4 linked regions of the Drosophila melanogaster genome follow. The protein of the gene in region 2 purifies or fractionates together with the protein of the main gene of each other region. This does not show direct contact. Each region holds a gene or a part of one and is shown on either strand. Other genes may lie near its edges. The genes, in order: CG5447, Rdh1, CG13887 and Karybeta3.

What was found.
Region 1: the proteins of Rdh1 (region 2) and CG5447 purify together in Drosophila melanogaster (affinity purification with mass spectrometry, with the first as the bait; one large-scale study listed by BioGRID). This does not show direct contact.
Region 3: the proteins of Rdh1 (region 2) and CG13887 purify together in Drosophila melanogaster (affinity purification with mass spectrometry, with the first as the bait; one large-scale study listed by BioGRID). This does not show direct contact.
Region 4: the proteins of Rdh1 (region 2) and Karybeta3 purify together in Drosophila melanogaster (affinity purification with mass spectrometry, with the first as the bait; one large-scale study listed by BioGRID). This does not show direct contact.

What each region holds. Positions count from the first base shown.
Region 1 is NT_033777.3:26,450,979-26,455,111, forward strand, and holds CG5447 (uncharacterized protein), read left to right. Parts: upstream 1-1,555; 5' UTR 1,556-1,679; intron 1,680-1,875; 5' UTR 1,876-1,882; coding exon 1,883-2,044; intron 2,045-2,110; coding exon 2,111-2,263; intron 2,264-2,590; coding exon 2,591-2,731; coding exon of another isoform or gene 2,732-2,770; 3' UTR 2,771-2,930; intron 2,931-3,001; 3' UTR 3,002-3,607; downstream 3,608-4,133. Other genes in the region: Hex-t2 (hexokinase testis 2), read left to right, coding at 1-313, 402-1,253; CG43117 (uncharacterized protein), read left to right, coding at 3,835-4,062.
Region 2 is NT_033778.4:7,664,097-7,667,843, forward strand, and holds Rdh1 (retinol dehydrogenase 1), read left to right. Parts: upstream 1-1,731; 5' UTR 1,732-1,840; coding exon 1,841-1,920; intron 1,921-2,049; coding exon 2,050-2,313; intron 2,314-2,377; coding exon 2,378-2,534; intron 2,535-2,590; coding exon 2,591-2,850; intron 2,851-2,907; coding exon 2,908-3,139; 3' UTR 3,140-3,247; downstream 3,248-3,747. Other genes in the region: CG2065 (uncharacterized protein), read left to right, coding at 1-200, 257-413, 479-738, 800-1,028; DCTN4-p62 (dynactin 4, p62 subunit), read right to left, coding at 3,305-3,747.
Region 3 is NT_037436.4:835,987-840,480, reverse strand, and holds CG13887 (uncharacterized protein), read right to left. Parts: upstream 2,621-4,494; 5' UTR 2,361-2,620; coding exon 1,857-2,360; intron 1,379-1,856; coding exon of another isoform or gene 1,328-1,378; exon of another isoform or gene 1,232-1,327; coding exon 1,049-1,231; 3' UTR 550-1,048; downstream 1-549. Other genes in the region: JMJD5 (jumonji domain containing 5), read left to right, coding at 1-423; CG13901 (uncharacterized protein), read left to right, coding at 3,030-3,698; CG42554 (uncharacterized protein), read right to left, coding at 3,928-4,494.
Region 4 is NT_033777.3:4,647,250-4,655,142, reverse strand, and holds Karybeta3 (karyopherin beta 3), read right to left. Parts: upstream 5,968-7,893; 5' UTR 5,457-5,967; coding exon 5,376-5,456; intron 4,559-5,375; coding exon 4,409-4,558; intron 4,345-4,408; coding exon 3,250-4,344; intron 3,161-3,249; coding exon 1,807-3,160; intron 1,692-1,806; coding exon 1,054-1,691; 3' UTR 519-1,053; downstream 1-518. Other genes in the region: rpk (ripped pocket), read right to left, coding at 7,005-7,748, 7,805-7,893.

The sequences.
Region 1 (4,133 bases), on a different chromosome or scaffold from region 2:
GTATTTGGCCCTGGATCTGGGTGGCTCTAATTTCAGGGTGCTTCTGGTGAACCTGATTAGCAACTCGGACGTGGAAACCATGTCGAAGGGCTATAATTTTCCTCAAACTCTGATGTCCGGATCGGGAAAGGCGCTTTTCGACTTCCTTGCCGAATGCCTGTCGGAGTTTTGTCACTCCCATGGCCTGGAGAATGAATCACTGGCTCTGGGCTTCACCTTCTCGTTTCCGCTCCAGCAGCAGGGACTCTCCAAGGGTATCCTTGTGGCCTGGACCAAAGGATTCAGCTGCGAAGGCGTGGTGGGCAAGAATGTGGTGAGTTTCATGGCGTTCAAACTATTTACGTGTGGTTCTATTAACATTTATATTTAACAAATGAATTTCTTTTAATATGCATTCCTAGGTGAGTCTTCTCCAGGAGGCAATCGATCGAAGGGGCGATCTAAAGATCAATACCGTCGCCATTCTCAACGATACGGTGGGCACTCTGATGTCCTGCGCCTTCTATCATCCCAACTGCCGGATTGGATTGATCGTGGGAACCGGCTCCAATGCGTGCTATGTGGAGAAAACAGTAAATGCCGAATGCTTCGAAGGATACCAGACCAGTCCCAAGCCATCAATGATAATCAACTGCGAGTGGGGCGCCTTTGGGGACAATGGTGTTCTGGAGTTCGTTCGAACTTCCTACGACAAGGCAGTCGACAAGGTAACACCCAATCCCGGCAAGCAGACGTTCGAAAAGTGCATATCGGGCATGTATATGGGTGAACTTGTACGTTTGGTCATCACCGATATGATTGCCAAGGGTTTTATGTTCCACGGCATCATTTCCGAGAAGATCCAGGAGCGATGGAGCTTCAAAACCGCCTATATTTCCGATGTTGAAAGTGATGCACCTGGCGAGTATCGCAATTGCAATAAGGTCCTTAGCGAATTGGGCATATTGGGCTGCCAGGAACCCGACAAAGAGGCCCTGCGATACATCTGCGAGGCGGTGTCCTCCAGGTCTGCCAAGCTATGTGCCTGCGGCCTGGTCACCATTATCAACAAGATGAACATCAACGAGGTGGCCATCGGCATAGACGGTAGCGTGTATCGCTTCCATCCCAAGTACCACGACATGCTCCAGTACCACATGAAGAAGCTCCTCAAGCCGGGCGTCAAGTTTGAGCTGGTTGTTTCGGAGGACGGATCCGGAAGAGGAGCGGCTCTCGTGGCGGCCACCGCAGTCCAGGCCAAAAGCAAGCTCTAAATTCGAAGTTGATATTCTTCAAATGCATGGGAAACGTTACGGACAATGATATATGAGCACAAAATTATGGAAGAAGAAATAAAGATTTAAGGATATAATGGGAACTTTTAATATTATCCTTTCAAACTTAAAATTGTGTCCAGAAATCCGATTTGAATTATGGCGCCAAAGATATAATAATTTTCTGCCTTAGTGGCAACACTGCACATCCATAGTATTTTTTAGTACATGCAGTATTTTTAGAATATTTATGGAACGATAGGGATGGGGTAACACTATTTTGGTATAAAAGCCAACTCGCCATCTGGTAACACTTGGAGTTTGCAAACATTTATCTCTCGACCAATTTAAGGAATTTGAGGCAATTAGGGCATTCCTGTGAGCTTTTCCAGGCCAACTGCGATTACTTCAAGCCAAGACAAACAGGTGGGTAACCAAGCAGGCCGTGCCCCACCGACCAGACCAGCAAAACACCCCCATTTCGGGCGGTGCTGGAAAAAGCAAGGCCAGCTGTCCATTTGGGATTTGGACACTCCACTCTGAGCATCAAGATGATTGCCCTTAACCAAATGCATCGGGCGCTGCAGAGCGAGGCCATTAATGCCATTATCCGCCTTTTCAGCGACAACATGTCCCAAGGCGGTGGCACTACTCCAGCGGGCGGTAATCCCACAGCGCTCCAGGCGACCGGAGGGGGCGTGGTCTTCAGCAAGGTCTTCATCCAGCGCGATTACAGCGAGGGCACCTCCGTCAAGTTCCATACACGGCTGCCCGCTGAGCTGGAGGGCATGGTGACTATATAATACTCTATATTATCTGTGGGATTATCATCCGAACTCATATCGATTCTCGTGCAGATTGAAAGACACGTCTTCGAGGCCACCATCAATAGGCTAAACGAGTTCTACGCCGAGGCGGAGGAGGGATCCTGCGGCACCTATTGCGAGGGCTGCATTGGCTGCATCACGGCCTACTTGATCTATATGTGCTCCGAAACGCACTATGAAAAGGTGCGTCATTTGGGTTTGGATTACACACATGTGGGTCAATGCAATAGAGTCTAGTTCCACTAGGGAACTATTAATAGGGATTAGAGTCAACAATTTCACAAATGTCGATATGCGATCGTATAAGTTATCAAAGTTATTCTCGTTAATGTCCTTGTACTCAAGGTTTTCATATCTGTTTAAGGTATAAAGGTCAGAGAACTTGATAAATCAAGTAGTAGTATTACTTGCTAATTAGTGATCGTGCTATCTGTTATACGAGTTTAAAATAAGGCAGTGGCACTTCCAGCTCTATTGCCTGCACATACTAATGCTCTTTCGCCCCCACAGACCCTTCGCAAGATATCCAAATTTGTGGCTTCCCAAAATGAACGCATTTACAACACCAAGGGACTGCAGCTGATCGATCCCACTTATCGGGGACTTCGCGTCATAGAGATTACAATATTCGATCGTCCGGGGCGAACGTGACTTCCGCTTTCCCATTCAGCCAACGAGTTTTTCATGTGAGATCGAGCAGCTACAGTCGCATCAACAGGCATGTGAAGGAGAAGAGTCCGTTTCAGCAATTATCAAGCAAAAGTCAGCGCCATCAGAGTGCGTTTCCAAAAATATAAATCAATAAAAAGCTGTGGAAGCAGCTAAAGCTTTATAACCTATAACCATATGTGTGAGTATCTCAGATATTCCGCACTCAATTGCAAACTGAACTAACTAACATTTACTTTCGCATCCTTTCAGCTTGGCAAAAGCAGTGGCCAGAGCGTTTTCGGGGCATGCGACTTAGTCACGGGTGTGCTGGTAGATGTGCCTCCGCTGCAGCCACATACTGTATGCTAGATTAGCCGTTAATGATTAGCCAAGGCAGTGTACGGCCAGTTAGTTAGTATTTATGCAATAGCAGGCATAGTCATGTAAGTGAAAAGCTACCGAAACTGCATTTTGAGCCGAAGCAAGAAGCATCAACATATACACACATTCGCATATGTTACAATTGTTTTATTAATCGGACCGAAAGGCCAGCGAGAATTGATTGTTTTGTAATTTGAAAATGAATAGAATTGTATACATCATGTTTGTAGTAGTTGCCAACAATTCGATTGTCTAATGTTGTAATTTCAATATGGCATTAACATTTGCATAAATACACACACACATAGTTCAAGCTTAATCAGACATAATGCATACGCATAACTTTTTCTATACAATACTTACCGATTTCAAACAGCGCCAAATGAACTTACACATAAATCGAATCGAGAATCGTTCGATATTTAATATAAATCAGCAACATTGATTAACATAGTTATATATCTTATAAGAAAAATATATATATTGCCGTCATTTAAACGCGCCTACAACTGTTTTCCTGCGGCGGGTAAACATCGAATTGGAAGCAAACAAGTTAAGCAAAATGTGGCGTGCAAAATTTGTTTTTGCTGATTTTCAATTGTATTTCGCTATTTACTTATCATCTGCGGATATTTGTTATTGTCTGGCGTAGAAAACTTTCGTATATATAAAGGCCTCTAAAGCCTCGTCTTATACATTCACGATTCTTGCAAAGCCGCACAATGAAGCTAAGCACTTATCTATTGGCGCTCGTCCTATTCGCCGGATTCTGCCTGCTGCAGCCTTCCTCAGCCCAGACCAATTCCACCACATCCACCAACACCACAACCACGGAGGCAACCACAACCACCACTGCCAAGGCCACAACCGTTCATAGGAAACATTTTACGATCCGTAATCTCCACTATAAGACAGTGCGCAGGATCCATGTTAACAAGAAATCTGGTTAATAAGATCTTTAGCTTACCAAACAATGGCGAATAAAAAATACCTAAAGAAAACACATTTCTAATAATGGGCA
Region 2 (3,747 bases):
ACCGGTGCCAACACGGGCATTGGCAAGGAGACGGTCCTGGAGATTGCCAAGCGAGGAGGCACTGTGTACATGGCATGCCGGGATATGAACCGGTGCGAGAAGGCGCGCCAGGATATTATCAGGGAGACAAATAACCAGAACATATTCTCTCGAGAACTGGACTTGAGTTCGCTGGAATCCATTCGCAAATTCGCTGCTGGGTAAACGCAAACATGATAGATCGACGAATGCGTTACTGATTTCCCTCGTTTATTAGATTCAAGAAAGAGCAGGATAAGCTTCATGTCCTGATAAACAATGCAGGAGTTATGCACTGTCCCAGAACACTGACCAAGGATGGCTTCGAAATGCAGTTGGGAGTCAACCATATGGGACACTTCCTGCTCACCCACTTGCTGCTGGACGTATTGAAGGTATTTTGGGTACTCAGGACTTTCTTAGCACCTTGTTAACCAAACTCCCTGCTTAATCTCACTAGAAAACTGCACCCAGTCGCATCGTGAACGTTTCCAGCCTGGTGCACACCCAAGGTTTCATTAAAACTGCCGACCTAAACAGTGAAAAGTCGTACAGCAGAATCGGTGCCTATAGTCAGAGCAAGCTGGCCAACGTCCTGTTCACCCGGGAATTGGCCAAGCGCCTGGAGGGAACGGGGGTCACAACCAACTCCCTACATCCCGGTGCCGTGGACACGGAGCTGTCGAGGAATTGGAAGTTCCTGAAACACCCCTTTGCACAGTAAGATAGAAGACATAAGTGGGCACTACTTGAGTTTGATATTAACACTCGTATCGCTTAGGCTACTGCTCAAGCCCCTCCTGTGGGTACTCTTCAAAACCCCTCGCAATGGAGCGCAGACCACTCTCTACGCAGCCCTGGATCCTGCACTAAAGGATGTTTCCGGGCTCTACTTTAGCGACTGCCAGCCAAAGGAAGTGTCCGCAGCTGCCCAGGACGACAAGACTGGAAAGTTCCTCTGGGCGGAGAGCGAGAAGTGGACCGGCGTGAATTCAACCAAAGTTGATTAAGCAACCATTAGTTTATCCCTCGCCATTTCATAATTTATTATTTTAATAGCTTATCATAATGAAGACTAACGCAAAATGTAATAATTTATGTTTGAATTGTAGAATTCTTACGGATTCTACAAGCTGAAAATAAAGAAATGCTCCCAAAAAAGCTTTACCTAATCTAAAATTTGTATTTTGAGATCAACATTGTTGCATTTCTGTGTTCAGTACTAAAGAAAAATGGTCAAATTCTTTTGTTTTTTTTGTAAAAGTGATGGAATCAATTTGGATGATTCATGCTTTATTTTTGTACCCGTTATTCCTGGAGTAGGAGGGTATACTAAATTAGTTGGAAAGTATGTATGTAACATAACGAATCAGTTAGTTCCCTATATCTCGACGTTCAAACGGACGGATATGGCTGGATGGATCGTTTTGACTAGTGTTGCTGATCAAGTCTAAATATAAACTTTATTCTATATGTTACATACTGTTCAGCGAACCTATTATACCCTTTTACTCCACGCGTAATATACCCATTGAGTAAATATAAACATCAATGGAATTGCTTTTATTTGTTTGAATGCTTTCCACTATCATAACATATTATTGAGAATTCGTTTTCTCTTGACCTTCGTTAAGAATCTCTCTCCCGACGTTCTCCATTTCGTCAGGTTCTCACTCCGAATTAGCGATAATATATGTTTGTGTGGGGTAGCTGTGCTCAGTAATATATTAACAGCTGTGCTGTTCGTACCAGAACGCACTCAACGATTGAAATAAGATCTGACAACACCCTAAATACAAGGAATTGTACAAAGATATTCAAAATGTGCATTTTCATCGATTGCTTATTGAGCCCCTTGATTATGTGGCCAGCTACTATCGGCGTGGGCATCTACTTCTTGAAGTGAGTTGCGGTAATTATTTCGTGTAATTATGAAATATACCAGTGTGACTACGCATCCATGACTCGCTACTATGATTCCCCCGGGTAATAGATAACAGCTTTTCAGGTAATTCCTATTGATAATTCCAGGGAGTACATGCAAGGTGGAAAGTTTACGAAGGACACCGATGAGACCGGAAAGGTATTCATTGTGACCGGTGCCAACACGGGCATTGGCAAGGAGACGGCTCTGGAGATAGCCAGACGTGGGGGAACTGTGTACTTGGCTTGCAGGGATATGAACCGATGTGAAAAGGCCCGCAAGGATATCATCAAGGAGACAAATAACCAGAATATATTCTCTCGAGAGCTGGACCTAAGTTCCCTAGACTCCATTCGCAAATTTGTTGATGGGTAAGCTTACCTCCAGAGAATTTTCTTGTCTCTGTAAGATTTAAAAACCTATCCTATCAATCAGCTTCAAGAAGGAGCAACCCAAGCTTCACGTCCTGATCAACAATGCCGGCGTGATGCGTTGTCCCAAGACCCTAACCAAGGATGGCTACGAACTGCAGCTGGGAGTAAATCATATTGGTCACTTTTTGTTGACTAACTTGCTGCTCGACGTACTGAAGGCAAGTGTGCTATATAATAGTCAAGTGCGTCAGATAATGGTCTTACAAAATTTCAGAACTCGGCTCCCAGTCGCATTGTCGTTGTGTCCAGTCTGGCACATGCGCGTGGCTCCATTAACGTAGCCGACCTCAACAGCGAGAAGTCGTATGATGAGGGCCTAGCCTACAGCCAGAGCAAGTTGGCCAACGTCCTGTTCACCCGGGAATTGGCCAAGCGTTTGGAGGGCAGCGGAGTCACAGTAAATGCCCTTCACCCTGGTGTGGTGGACACTGAGCTGGCGCGGAACTGGGCCTTCTTCCAGACAAACCTTGTGAAGTAAGTGATGAATAAGTGAATTAGGACCTTCCCAGTAATACCTGTTAACCTTCCTAGGTTCTTTTTAAAGCCAATGATTTGGCCGCTTTTAAAGACACCGAAGAGTGGAGCTCAGACCTCGATTTACGCTGCTTTGGATCCGGAGCTTAAGAACATCTCTGGCCTGTACTTCAGTGACTGCAAACCAAAGCCTGTGGCTTCTGGTGCCTTGGACGATAAGGTTGCCAAGTTCCTGTGGGCCGAGAGCGAGAAGTGGACCGGATTAGATAAGCTGGAAGCTAATAACTAAAGAAGAACGAATAGTGTTAGAACAAGCCTTTTATTATACTTGAATACTAGCTGCTGTTTCACGAACGGATTAATAAATAAATACATATTTCTCTAGCTTTCATAAAGCATATTTCATATTTCGCATAAGTCGATTAGTACGCCTGTTGGCTAATAAGTTTCCAGTTTAGTTGGCTTTCTGCTCAGTTGCTCCCGCCGTGATAAACACCCTGGAGTGGAGCACATGGGTTGTGGGTTCCCTCTTCTCTTGCGCATTGTTTACGGTGTTGACGTATGTGTACTGCATATAGAAGCCCAGAACGACGTCTGCTAATCCGGACAGCTCCTCTGCTGGGGTAAACTGTAGCCGCAAAAGCACCTTGTTGCCCTTCCGCCAGACAATAAACTTGGGCTCCTCGGTGGACAGTTGCACGTCCTCGTCGAACTCTTTCGAGTCATCGCGCTGGTTCAGAACGAACTCGCTCTCCAACGGAACTATTTCGGCATTGGATATATCAATCACATCTCGTTTTACCTCCCGTGTTGAGTTTTGACGCGACAGTGTGATGCCCACTGCTTTTAGAAGTGGGGACGAAGAAATGGGTTCCTCTTTCGCAACACGAGTGGCCT
Region 3 (4,494 bases), on a different chromosome or scaffold from region 2:
CTCTTCGCCCAGATACCAGCCCTCAAAGAGGATATATCCATTCCCGACTACTGCACCATCAGCAACGAAGATACCCCAGGAGCTGTGGACATCAAAGCCTGGCTGGGACCAGCTGGAACCGTATCTCCCATGCACTACGATCCCAAGCACAACTTGCTGTGCCAGGTATTCGGTTCGAAGAGGATCATCCTAGCTGCTCCTGCAGACACAGACAATCTGTATCCCCACGACAGTGAGTTTTTGGCCAATACAGCGCGAATAGATGCTGCTCAACTGGATCCTGAAACATATCCCTTGGTAGCCAAGGTGAAGTTCTACCAGCTGCTCCTGCAACCTGGTGACTGTTTGTACATGCCACCCAAATGGTGGCACTATGTGAGATCTGAAGCTCCTAGCTTCTCTGTAAGCTTCTGGTGGGAGTAAGCATTTTAATGCAGTTTATTGAACAGCAAATTTATGTAGGATGATCTCTGTTCAAGTTAAGATTAAAGTATGCACTGCAAAACCACGATAGATCACTAAATATGCGAATTTGATTAGCATTTCTGGGTAATTATCAAGGAAACATATTCGATGCCCTTTTCGCACACCGATAATGTAACGCCTCCGATTTCTAAGCTCCAAGTATGCAAACAGGTTGCGACGTCTGACGTCATTGCCGTGTACTATCAGACATGATGTGGACTATCCGCGCCAACAGATGAATCATCGAATCGATCACAACTGGATGGGTACTTTTTGGTTGTTCTTTTAATAGCCACGACGCTTTTTGGGTGTGTTACTGTGGCAAACAAAACTTAACACATACGAATTAAATACAAAACTTCGGACGAAACGAACATTGAGTTGAGGGACCATTATCAATATACCCCATTATCATTATCAAATGGTATATGTAGTTGTATCTATGAGGATTAACAATAAGATGTGTGTGCTTTCTATCGATTTGAAATCGTTATAATCTTTTAAATGTGCCTGCTTTCGCTGCCCCACCGCCATGCTTATAAGTCTTATCGTTATTTAAATGTTGGACTTGGCTCCAGTGAGTTTAATCATCCTTGTTTCCGCCTCCGCCGATGGTTATCTTCTTCTGCAGCTTGCTGTACTCCTCGGTGAGTCGGTCGTACTCGCGGTTGATGCTCTCCGCCTGCGACTTAACCGCCTCCTTGTCCTTCTTTTCGCGATTCAAGTCGGAGGTTAGCTCCTGGACGCGCTCGCGCAGCTTGTTGAGCTGCAAAATTCGGATTTCGTTTGAGTTTCGATTGGATTTTTGTTCGTTTTGGGTGTTTGGGAATGGATATAAGGTGGGTGCTCTAGGTGGGGATACTTAGGACACTCGGGCGGTGAGTCCTTGCACACGTCTCCGCAGTCTTGACAGCTGTTTAAAGAGTTAACAAGAGGTTTAAACTTTCGAGTGGTGGCTTCTGTTTATCGTGGCCCAACATATGTGTTTGGGTGTGGTTTCAAAACGTTTAGCTGCGGTCAAAACAAAAGCACTAAGCCTATGACAAATTCACTCGGTCTTCAAACTGATTTAAGTTTACGTTTAAGATTTTAATCATGATATATACTGGTATTTAAAGTTCTATATCGTTAATAGACTACATTTAAAGCCTTTTCGTATCTTATATTCAAAACCAATTGAGAAAATGTACCAGAAAGTGGAATGAAGTATAGATTTTATAGATTTAGTCGGCTAAAGACATTATCTCGCCATATTTTGACCACACCTTCTATATGCATTGCCATATCTTTACAGCTGGTAGTAGCCAATTGAACTCCAAAGTCTTAGGTGTTAGCTCTCTAGACATGCCATTCCTGGGGATCGGATGCAGGGGTTTGGGACGTGGACTCACCTCGATGAGAGTGGTATCCTCGCCGGCTTCCTTGGCCTTCTCGGTGTTCTTGTTCTCCAGCAAGGAACGTGCGGCTGCAGTGGCGCTCTGTGCCTGCTTGAAGGAAGCCTCGCTCTGGGCCATGAGATTGGCCTGGGTGCAGATCAAGTTTACCAGTCGCCGGATGACCAGGGCAAGGAAAATGGCGAATCCAGAGATGTAGAAGTTCCGCTGGGCACGGAACAGCTTCATGCTGTGCTGCATCTCCACGTTCAAGTGGACCTCGTTAGACTGCTGCAAGCCGGAGTACTTGCGCATCTCGCGAATGGCCTCCAGGAGGAAAATGACCAGAATTCCCATGATCAGCAGGAAATATATGTGCGCCTGTTGTCCCAACATCGATAGGAATTTGGACTTGAAGAACCGGTTCCAGCGGTAAGGAGTGAGCACCGGCAGCACCAGCAGAAGGACCAGTGCGATTTCCGCATAGAGAAATCCGGCGATCAAAGTCCACACCAAACTCATTTTTAATGTTTTATTAATTCCCTTTTTCGTTCGATTTTCGCTTCTTGGATTTTCGCTTTTTTCGACTGCCGCCTGTAAGCAGAAATGCGTCCAAATTAGCTGCTAAGTCTACGGATTCGGGACGGACGGTCTAGTGGCTATTTATAAACTACGGCCGGAGTGACTGGCTGCTTACTTTAAATAGCAATAATTAAATCGCTGCCGTGATGAAATATGCGTATATTTTATGTAGTCACTGCGCCGGCCACGTCAACTCTGTTTTTTTGTGTACGCACGGGGCTGCCAACTCGCGCGCTGGAATCAACTGTAAATTGGGTAGCCAGAAAAAAGCTGAATTCATGGAAAATATTCGAATTTCAAAATCATTTTATTAGTAAGTAAAAAAAATGGCAAGAATTAGTACGTATTTTGCATTAAAATTAACCATTACCTCCAAATATTACAAGACAAATCGATCATAAGGTATTGTATGTAATGCTTTAAAGTGCCTTGGTAACCCGGCTTGCGATGTAAACAAGCTGGCAGCTGGGTTGCCAGGTTTCCATCGCAATGTGCTTCTCAACAAATTTTCAACTTTGCGCCATCGATCAAATTTTCTGCCCCGTTCAGTTGTTATATTCGAATCTCCGGCGGAGACGTGTGCCTAGGTAATCCCATCAATCCCCAGAGATGTCCTACCAGAACTGGCTAAACTACCTGCAGGCGGCGGAGAAGAACTCCATGATAAGTGGCCGCGCCCGCAAGGTGCTCTACAAATTCCCGGACGGCAGGCAAATGGCCGAGGAGTACAACATGGACACGGGAATCGTGCAGCGGCGGGCCTGGAAATCGAAGAGCAACAAGATCATGGGCGAGTCGGAGTGGGAAATCGAGCTGGGCGATGAGCCGCGTCAGTTAAACTGGTCGGGCAACAAGCCACCAGGATCTGGCGAGGAAACGGACTCCCTGGCCGGCGGAGATTTCACCCTGCGGGAGAGCAACACCGCGCCACTGCTGACCAAGCGGATCACCAAGAAGAACATTGAGTGGCGCATCCGCAACATGCCCTACTCCCTGGACACATACAGCGTAACCGCCGATCCCGAGAAGCGTGCCATAGTCGTGCGCACCTCGAACAAGAAGTACTACAAGGTCATCCCGGTCCCGGAACTGGACCGCTGTGGGGTCAAGCCCGCGCAGGAGAGCCTCTCTGTCCACCACCAGTTCAACACGCTGATCATTACCTACCAGAAACCAGATATCCTCTGCGAGATGGAGGCACAGGTGCTGCTTCTGCTCAAGAATGTCGACACCGAAACCGACATGGATGATCTGCTGAAGGGTCTGATGGCCAAATAAACGACTTAGATTGTAATACACAAAGTATTATTATTATTATTATTATTGTGAATTAACCTAATTTAATTTATTTAGAGAATTCCCAAATACACTTCACAAAGGGAACTGCACAAAACGTTGAAATGAAGAACGTGCCTAAAATTAAATCCTAATCACCACTCAGCGGGCACTGCATTACCACGAGATCTTTCAAATTAGTTGAAGTTTTACAAATGGATCTTAACCAGGCCTATTTCTGGAAGCTCTCAGCCATGCCGGCATAGCTGGCCAACGAAGGAGCCGAGGAGCTGGTGAACAGGCTGTAATCGAAGGAGGGCAACTCCAAGGGCGCCAAGGATGGCAGGTCCAGGTCTCCACTGCCCGCCAGCCGCTGATCGCAAGTATCGTGTTCCTGCTCCTCCTGGGCAGAATCGCTCTTCTTCAGCGTCTCCATATGGGGCTCCGAATGGGCCAGTGTGCTAGAGGCCTTTGCCACCAAGGAGGAGGTGAACTTGGCATCGAAGTCCTGCACTGTTTTGTCGATTGCCTTGGCCACCGACTGAGCGGATCCTCCTGCGCCTCCACTTGCTCCGGCTTCTGGTCGCAGGGGCAGCATGGGACTGGTTTCCTTCAAGGGAGCATAATCCTTCAGCTTGTTCAGACCATGCTGCGTCTTTCGCATCTCAATTTGACGCAGTTTGCGCTGAAAATCGAGGGTCAATGTGTCCAGAACTTCCTTGGATTTGGGCAGAGCCACCCGTTTTTGGGCATCCTGCATGTAGATTAGGGATGTTTCCAGCGCTTTAATGGCCTCCTC
Region 4 (7,893 bases), on a different chromosome or scaffold from region 2:
TGGCCAACGAAACCGCATCCGCCCTTCCGCTGCACTCACCGTCTACCTGTTGCACTCACTCACCTTTGGGTTTTGGTTTCGTCTGATTCTGAGCGTTTAATCTGCACTTTGCCCACCAAGTCACCTAATGATTTAGAAAGCAAACAGAGAAACGCTCTCTTTCGCTATTTTCTCACTAATTTTACGAATTATTTTCTGCTCCTGTTTAGTCGCACACCTTTAAAGTGAGAATATCGTTTGCCTAATATCACTTAAATTCGTAAATAACATGTTAAAATGTGTGTTTTCCATTCGAGTTGAATGTTCCAAGTTTTTCCATCTTTGTTTTGATTTGCTTACTTTCCATTGCGAATCAGATCAGCTGTTTAGGAGGCCTCTGCATGTTCACTGCCACAGACAGAGTTGCCACAACGACTTTTGAAAAGTCTTTTGCGGGAATCGAATTTGAAATTGAATGAATGGTTAATAATAAAAAGCAATACTAAAACATAAGCTCGTGGCAATTAAAATATCGATTTACTTGTTATTTATTTCGTTTTTATCATGTTTAAAATACAATAAATGTTATTCCTTTAAATATATTTGTCGATCCTGGTTTGAATGCACAAAATTATATTTCGTTCGATTCGGACAACGTTTACATCCTGTTTTCCCCGCAGGGAGAGGCGGCCGTTAGGGCCGTATATACACACATATGTATTAAACATATGAAAATTTGAGTAACGAAAATATTCTATTGGAATTTGGGTGTGATTGGGATGGCATTTGGATCGCATCCATACAACATATCAAATTCTAACGAGGCAGACTTTTGTCTTCGGGAGAAGAGTTTTGATTAAAATCACAATATGTATAGAATTATATACCCGGATAACTCTATTGTACACATAAATGTATATCTGTATAAATGGATATCTATGTGTTAAACATATACTTCAAAATTTCGGTAAGATGAAAAATAATGATAACGAGTAGCTGAAGCATCCATCGTTCCTTTCTTGGCTTGGTCGACATGAATGGACTTGGTCTGAAGAGGATTGGGATTGCGATATCTTAGGCGGGAGCCACGTTTGCCAGCTCCCGGTAGGCATCCTGCAGCGCCTGCTGCTGTTCCGGGCTCAAGGTGCTGGCACAAGCAGCCATTACCTCCGGATTCGATTCCACTTGTTTGACGATAGTGAGCATACGAGTGCCGGTGGCGGACTGCGCCTCAACCACCTTGGTGCAGAAGGATTCAGCGATGATGGAGACAATGCGCGGCAGATTGCCGTTGTTTGCCCCAAGAATGACCGGATGGTTGCCTTCAATCAAGTCGCATAGGTAGCCATAGATGTGGGCGGCTTCTTCCGAATCCTCGGACACCGGCAGCCATGAGAACCAAACACCGATCAGCTCGTCCACGTTGCTCAGCGCCGAGTTGTTGTACTTGAGGATCTTAGCAAACGCCGAGATCGCATTCTCTGTCGGACTGATGTTCTCGATTTCGCGGGCTTTGGGATCGTTGATGACCTGCACCAGCAGTGGAATGATCTGGGCGCATGTATGCGCAAACTGCTCACCAGCGAATTGGCCGAGCACCCCGCATCCGTAGGCAGCCGCCTGGCGCACTTCTGGGGCCTTATCGCACACGTACTGGACGAGGGCTGGCGTAAAGATCTGCTGGTATGGAGCACAAGCGGGGCCACAAAATTCTGTAGGTAAATGAGAATACAAGTCTTTAGTTTTATGGTGGCACAAATGATTTGATGTTTGAAGGTATCGGCGGTACTATTGAACTGCAAAACTCAATTAAGAAAACCAACTCACCGATCAGATCATCGAACACGCATAAGCCCCACTGCCGATCAGCTACAGGTCGGCTGGGCTCCAGTAGCTTGACAAAGTGCGGAGCCACCTGTTCAAAGGCGGGTAAGAACTGAGCCTTGTTGGTCTGGAAAAGGGCGTGTGTAATGTCCACGATTTTGGAAAGGATGTAAACATCTGTGTCGTCCTGCTCGGCCAGCTCCTCCTCCACACCGTCGTCGTAGTCTTCCTCATTGCGAGCCGCCAAACGCTTGTCAGCACGCTCGAAATGCTCCAGAACATACTTGTTTATAATCTCGAGAACTTGTTTCATGGCATCCTCGTTAAGGCAATTCGGACCCAATGTCTCAATGCATTTTGCCAGCGAATTCAGCAGCTCCGACTGCACGTCTGGCTCCGGTTCCGTGACGATTACCTTGAGCAGCTCCGGACAAATGAACATCCACATGCCCTCCAGATACTGTGGACCCTTAATTTTTGCGCAGTCGAGAAGGTAAGGCAGCGACTCAGCAGCAGCTGTGCGGACACCGTCGTGGAAGTAGAACTTAAGCATGGGCAGCATTTGACGCACCACGTCCTCAGCGTATTCGGCAAATCCTTCCTTTAGTTCCCTAGCATAACAAACCAGCATCTCACAGGCCGAAGCCTTGTCGTCCATGCCAGCCGTGCGAATGGCGAAGTTCTGCTGCTCGCCAAGATTAATGAAAGACCAGTCCACATCACCGTCGATGTCCTCCACCTCGTCGTTGTCCAGCATCGCCACCTCAGGCTTCATGGTGGCCGTTCGCATCACTGGTCCCATAACGAGGGGCAGATATTGCTCAAATTGCTTGCCAAGGATTTTGCACATACGTGCCCAGGCAGTGATGAGATAGGAGGTCTGCGGATCATCATCAGCTAGTTCCCCCCCCTCGGTGTGATTGACCAGCAGCATATCCATGACTTCTCCGGCATCACCAATAAACTTCTCCCGCCCCACCGCCAATCCTATCAAGCTCACGCATTCAATGGTCTTGCCGCGAAGCATGCGGAGATCATCCGAGTTGGCGTTCTGGATGATGAACTTAAGGCATGGCATTAGGCGATCGTAGTAGGCCACAAATTCCGATTCGCAGGTGTCTGCAACCGATGCAATTGTCGTCACTACCTGCTCCAGTACCAGCTTGTTTCCCTTCTCCACCAGCTCCTTGAACTTCGAGTTCAGAATAGTCTCCAGCTTGGCCATGATCCCGTCCAGGTAGCGTGTCAATATATTTTTCGGGCAGTCCTCGCTGAAGTTCACCAGAGCGGCACCTGCGTGTGCTTGCACTCGCGGATTTTCCACGTCATCCAAAAGAGACAAGAGGCCGGGAATCACCTGGCGAAACAAGGGAAAATTGTTAAGCATTTAATTAATTTCAATTGCTTATTAGAAAGTTGATAAAGCAGTTGCAATTTAAGACTCACCTGGCTGTGGAACTTCTTCTCGAAGGTCTGTGCAAAGTCGGTGGACATTTGGCCAATGGCGTTGCAAGCGGCGTATCGAACGCGAGGATGAGGATCGCTCAGGAAGTTCAGGACTCCGGACATTACCTCATCTAGGATGGCTTCCATCTGCTTGTGACAACCCTCACCGATGGCCGAGATGGCCATGAGGGCTGCGAAGCGATGTTTCCAATCGGCATGACCCAACATAACCGGCAGAGCGTTCATTACGAGCGGAAGCACAATCTTTCCTCCCAATCCACAGGCGAGGCGATCCAGCGAGGACTCGGCGATCACGTTGTTGTCGCTGTGATCGTCATCATCGACCACGTCGGCGGTGGACCAGTTCTCGTCATCATCCAAATCCGTCATCATATGGAGAATCAGCGGGATCAGGGCCACGATATACTTGTCCGCTCGCTTGCGTATCATCGACGGGGCGTTCTCGGCGAGCGACACCATAACTTCCAACACTAGGTGACGCCAGCTGTCCTCAAAGTCCTGCGAGCTGAAAACCTTCATGCAGACCTCAAAAATGAACTCCAGCTGGGGACGCAGGAACTTCGGGCAATTCTCGGTCATCTCAATCAGGAGCTTTAGCAGACTCTGATCATCCTGGGCCTCGATGGTCTCGCCAGTGATGTGGATCATGCGGGGCAGCATATCAGCGAAGTGCTTGTGGATGGCCGTCTCGTTCTCCTTGTCGTGGTAGAGGATGAAGGCTCCGACGGCTCGCACGGCCTGTACTCGGACCTCCGGATCGGATCCAGCGTCCATGCTCTTGGCAAGCATCTGCTTGATCAGATCAATGTACTGAGCTTCCTGGTTTCCAAATATGGAAGGCACACTAGAGAAGATCCGCAGTGCCGATTCCTGCAGCTGCGGCGTAGGCGAGTTAGCGCATTGAAAGAGAAACTGCAAGATGTCGGGCCACTGGTTGTTGCAGTCCTCGTCGATCAGATTCCTGGCCACCTCGGCAACTACCTCGCAAATCTTGCGACGCAGCTGCGGCGTCACCTCCTGCTGCACGGCCAAAAGGATCTGCTGAAGCAATTGGTTCTGGGATTCAGCTGGAAGCTGCAAATGAGGTAATATTAGAAAGATGCTCAGAGGGCGATTCTCTGCGCGGCTTTATGCCTACCCCTTTGTAGAAATCAAAGAACTCGGTGGTAAACAGGCGGCGCAGCAACACGGCGGCCATCTGTCGAGCCTCCTCCGACTGCTGGCCATTTTGGATGTTGCCCAGGAGATGCGTCACCTTCAGCTCTCTTGAAAGATTGTTGTATGCTTCCTGGAATTAAAAATGGTTTTTGTACATATCCATTCGATGTAATTTTAAAATATATAAATATTATTTATATATGTAAATACAATTCCACCTTGACAACATTGGGCTCTGAAACAATTTAAAACGGATCTCGATTATTTCCATCTCTCAAGTGAAAAGCAAAGTCACAATTCTGAATAGGTATTTTTAGCAATCCAGGTGGAACTTTGGGTGGAAGCGGTACCATGCTTGCCATCTGCCCAAGGTCAACAGAGTGGGTGGGGTTTTCTGGCTGGTGTGGCGTGGGCGTGGCGGTGCCATGTGGCGCCGGAGCGAGACTTCGGAATCCGAGTGGCTTATCAACCGACAGATTGCATTTCTGGAACCGTGTGTCATGGATTTCGCACCTGCTCTTTGTTTCCGTTTGCGGCGGCAATCGGTAAACCGAATTGCCTACTACGAATTCTAATGGAAAATCATGTGGCGGCCATGCAAATTGCACAATTCGCTTCCATTTTGCTTTGTTTGCTTGCTTCGCACCGTCTGTCCGTCGGCTCTCCCTCGCACACATGCGAATGTCGGGGCAAAGCGGAGGGCGAAAACACGTTTTGTACGATGAATCAGATTCGTCTGAAATTTCGGCCGTAGGATTCGCACACCGACGTTTGTTCGTGTGTATACATACATATGTGCCGGGAGAAGATCTTATTGATGGCAGTCCGCCGTATATTTTTGCTCATGTGCAACCCATTGCGGGAATTGCGCATCGAAATTTCGAGGCGACGGCAATACGCTCTGCAAGATCCCCTGCCACGCCGTAATCGAGAATATTGGGACTCACCTCCGCCTGCTGGCGAACATCGTTGTCCGTGGACAAGAGGGAGGCCAGAAGCTGCTGGAAATGGGCCTGATCCGCTGCCATCTTATCCTGTCTGGTTCAAATGAATCGAAACACGGGAACTCGTGGAAACCACGATTTTCACTTCAGTCTTCACGCAACGGCGGCCGCCTAAAAAGAGCAGAACGGAACAACTGGCTGGGTTGCCAAGGTTCGCAAACAAGCGCACTGCACTCTTGGTCAGTTTTCGTGATTGCCGTGAATCTTGGGATGGTTGGTCTTTGGTGGGTGCTGCTGCTGCGCGGCCTATCCAACTTTCTTTTATTTAACTTTTTATGCAATTTAGTGGACACGCTGGAATCTCGCTAAAGCGCTAAGGCAATACTGCTCCGCCGTTATCGATAAAACGCGACTGCTTTTGGCGCGCAAGCGGCCGCCCGCACTAGTGATGCCCGATAGCTGGCGCGTTTGTAGAACCGTCAAAAACTCTAGCTAAAGTTTAACAGTTGATTATGATCTTTTAACGGAAATAGAACTGTGTTAGTGTGAGAACACAAAGTATTTCTAAAAATTACAATCTATTTCCAAAGACCGTAGGACTGAATGAATTGTGTGTATTTAAAAGAAAAAGTCAGGTAGCCTAGATTTAAATGGTTTGTTTCTTGTTTAAAATAACTATGTAAATTATATATATATATTGTAAGCTAGAAACAAGAAATGGCTTGAAACTCATTTAAATCTAATGGCATATTATTCCGAGTGCACCATTCACCGATTTGTGTGCAGGTTTTCTAAATACAATAACAATCATTGGTGAAAATGATGAAAGGCAAGGCTTTTCTTGAACCGAAAAGCTTAAAAAGAAGCTGCACATGGGCTGCGATCTAGACATGATAAGTAATATTTATTCAATTATTGTATTTACATATGTATTTCTTGCGATCATTTAAGACCCTAACACCTCGGAAGAAGCATTGCTGTTAATGTGCAGCTGTGAGGCCACTATAAGGTTGTTACAATTCGTTTCAAGGCAATTATTCGAAAGTAAAGGACCCCCAATGAAATTCTGAACAGACTCTAGATTATAAGATAGACTATAGATAATACACCGCTGTCGGTGTGTACTAAATGTTGATTATGTTGATTAAAACATTGAAGACATTAGTAAGGTGGTTGAGCTATGAAAATCATCGATTACTCTGAATTCATGTGCTAAGTTAACGGGCATCATAGACCTTCAAGATAGCATAAACGTGGAAGATGGTGTCCATATGGGCCTGATAAATAATATATATGAAATATATATCCAAAATTGGGTCGCATTTGAAGAGTTTAAGACATTCAGCTGAAGGATGTCCTTGCGGAAGACTCGACACAGATTGGAATCAATAAATTCAGCCGATTCTGAGTTATATAATGACATTATGACATCGAAGCCACTGTTGAAAATGTTCGGGAAGACTGACTCCGTCTTGGTTTTTATGTCAGCTATGTTTTGAAATTACCTAGTATGGCATATATTGAAAAATTTCTGCTAGACTAAGCATTAGTATAAATATGTATATAACTAGTTCAAACCACAATTTTTGGAACCATAAGAATTGTTCGCACTTACGAAATAGTGCTAATGGGTTATCCTTTAACCAGGCGCTTCAGATTGGTAAAGAGCCGCAACGTGAAGTGGTAGATCATTTCCACAAGACTCAAGATGGAGAACCCCATGAATAGACCGAAAATGCCACCGCAATTCGCCAGAAACTCGGTCATTCCGTAAAGCTCCGACCGCTTTGAAGTGATGAACTGACTCTGCTTGAAGTAAATGGACAAGCGGGACATCTGGGAGCCGGGATACTCCTTCAGGAACTCAGTGTCGCCCTCAGCCACTAGCATTTCTTCCAAATCAAAGTTGGCCTGGGAAATCTCCGTGTTGTAGACGAGGGATGTGCATGCTGGCATGCAGTTACAGGCAGATTCCACGCTCCGCGAATTTTCTCGGCCAGCGTTCAGCGCTTTTACTCTTTTGAATTCCCTGACTAACAACTCCCTTTCTGCCCGATCGTAGCAGTGGATCTTGTCCTCTCCGCATACAGGCATGTCCACGTTTCTGGGCATCGAGAACTTAACGCATCCGCACTTGGTCAGCGTGAAGTTGGCCAAGCACTCCAGTTGGCAATTTGATTCGGTGTACACCTTAAAAAAACGCAGCGACCGCTCGTGGCTGAGGAAGCACTGCCTCCGAACTGGATGGTACTCTGCTATTCCCGACGACATGGTGATCATGTTGGGCTTCACTGCGATCAGCACCTCCTTGCCCATGGGAATGCGCACAAACTGTTTGGAAACCTGCGGGACGTCATCGGGCGCATGAAGCAGTACCTGTAGATTGGCATTACTGTAGACACATATTGGAGCAAGAAAAAGCAAACAGCTACGTTTTCAAATTTTCCCACCTTAAATCCCTGCACAGGTCCTCGACAGGCGTAGTCCACCTCCTGCTTAAAGCTTTGGAGGGCCAAGAAAA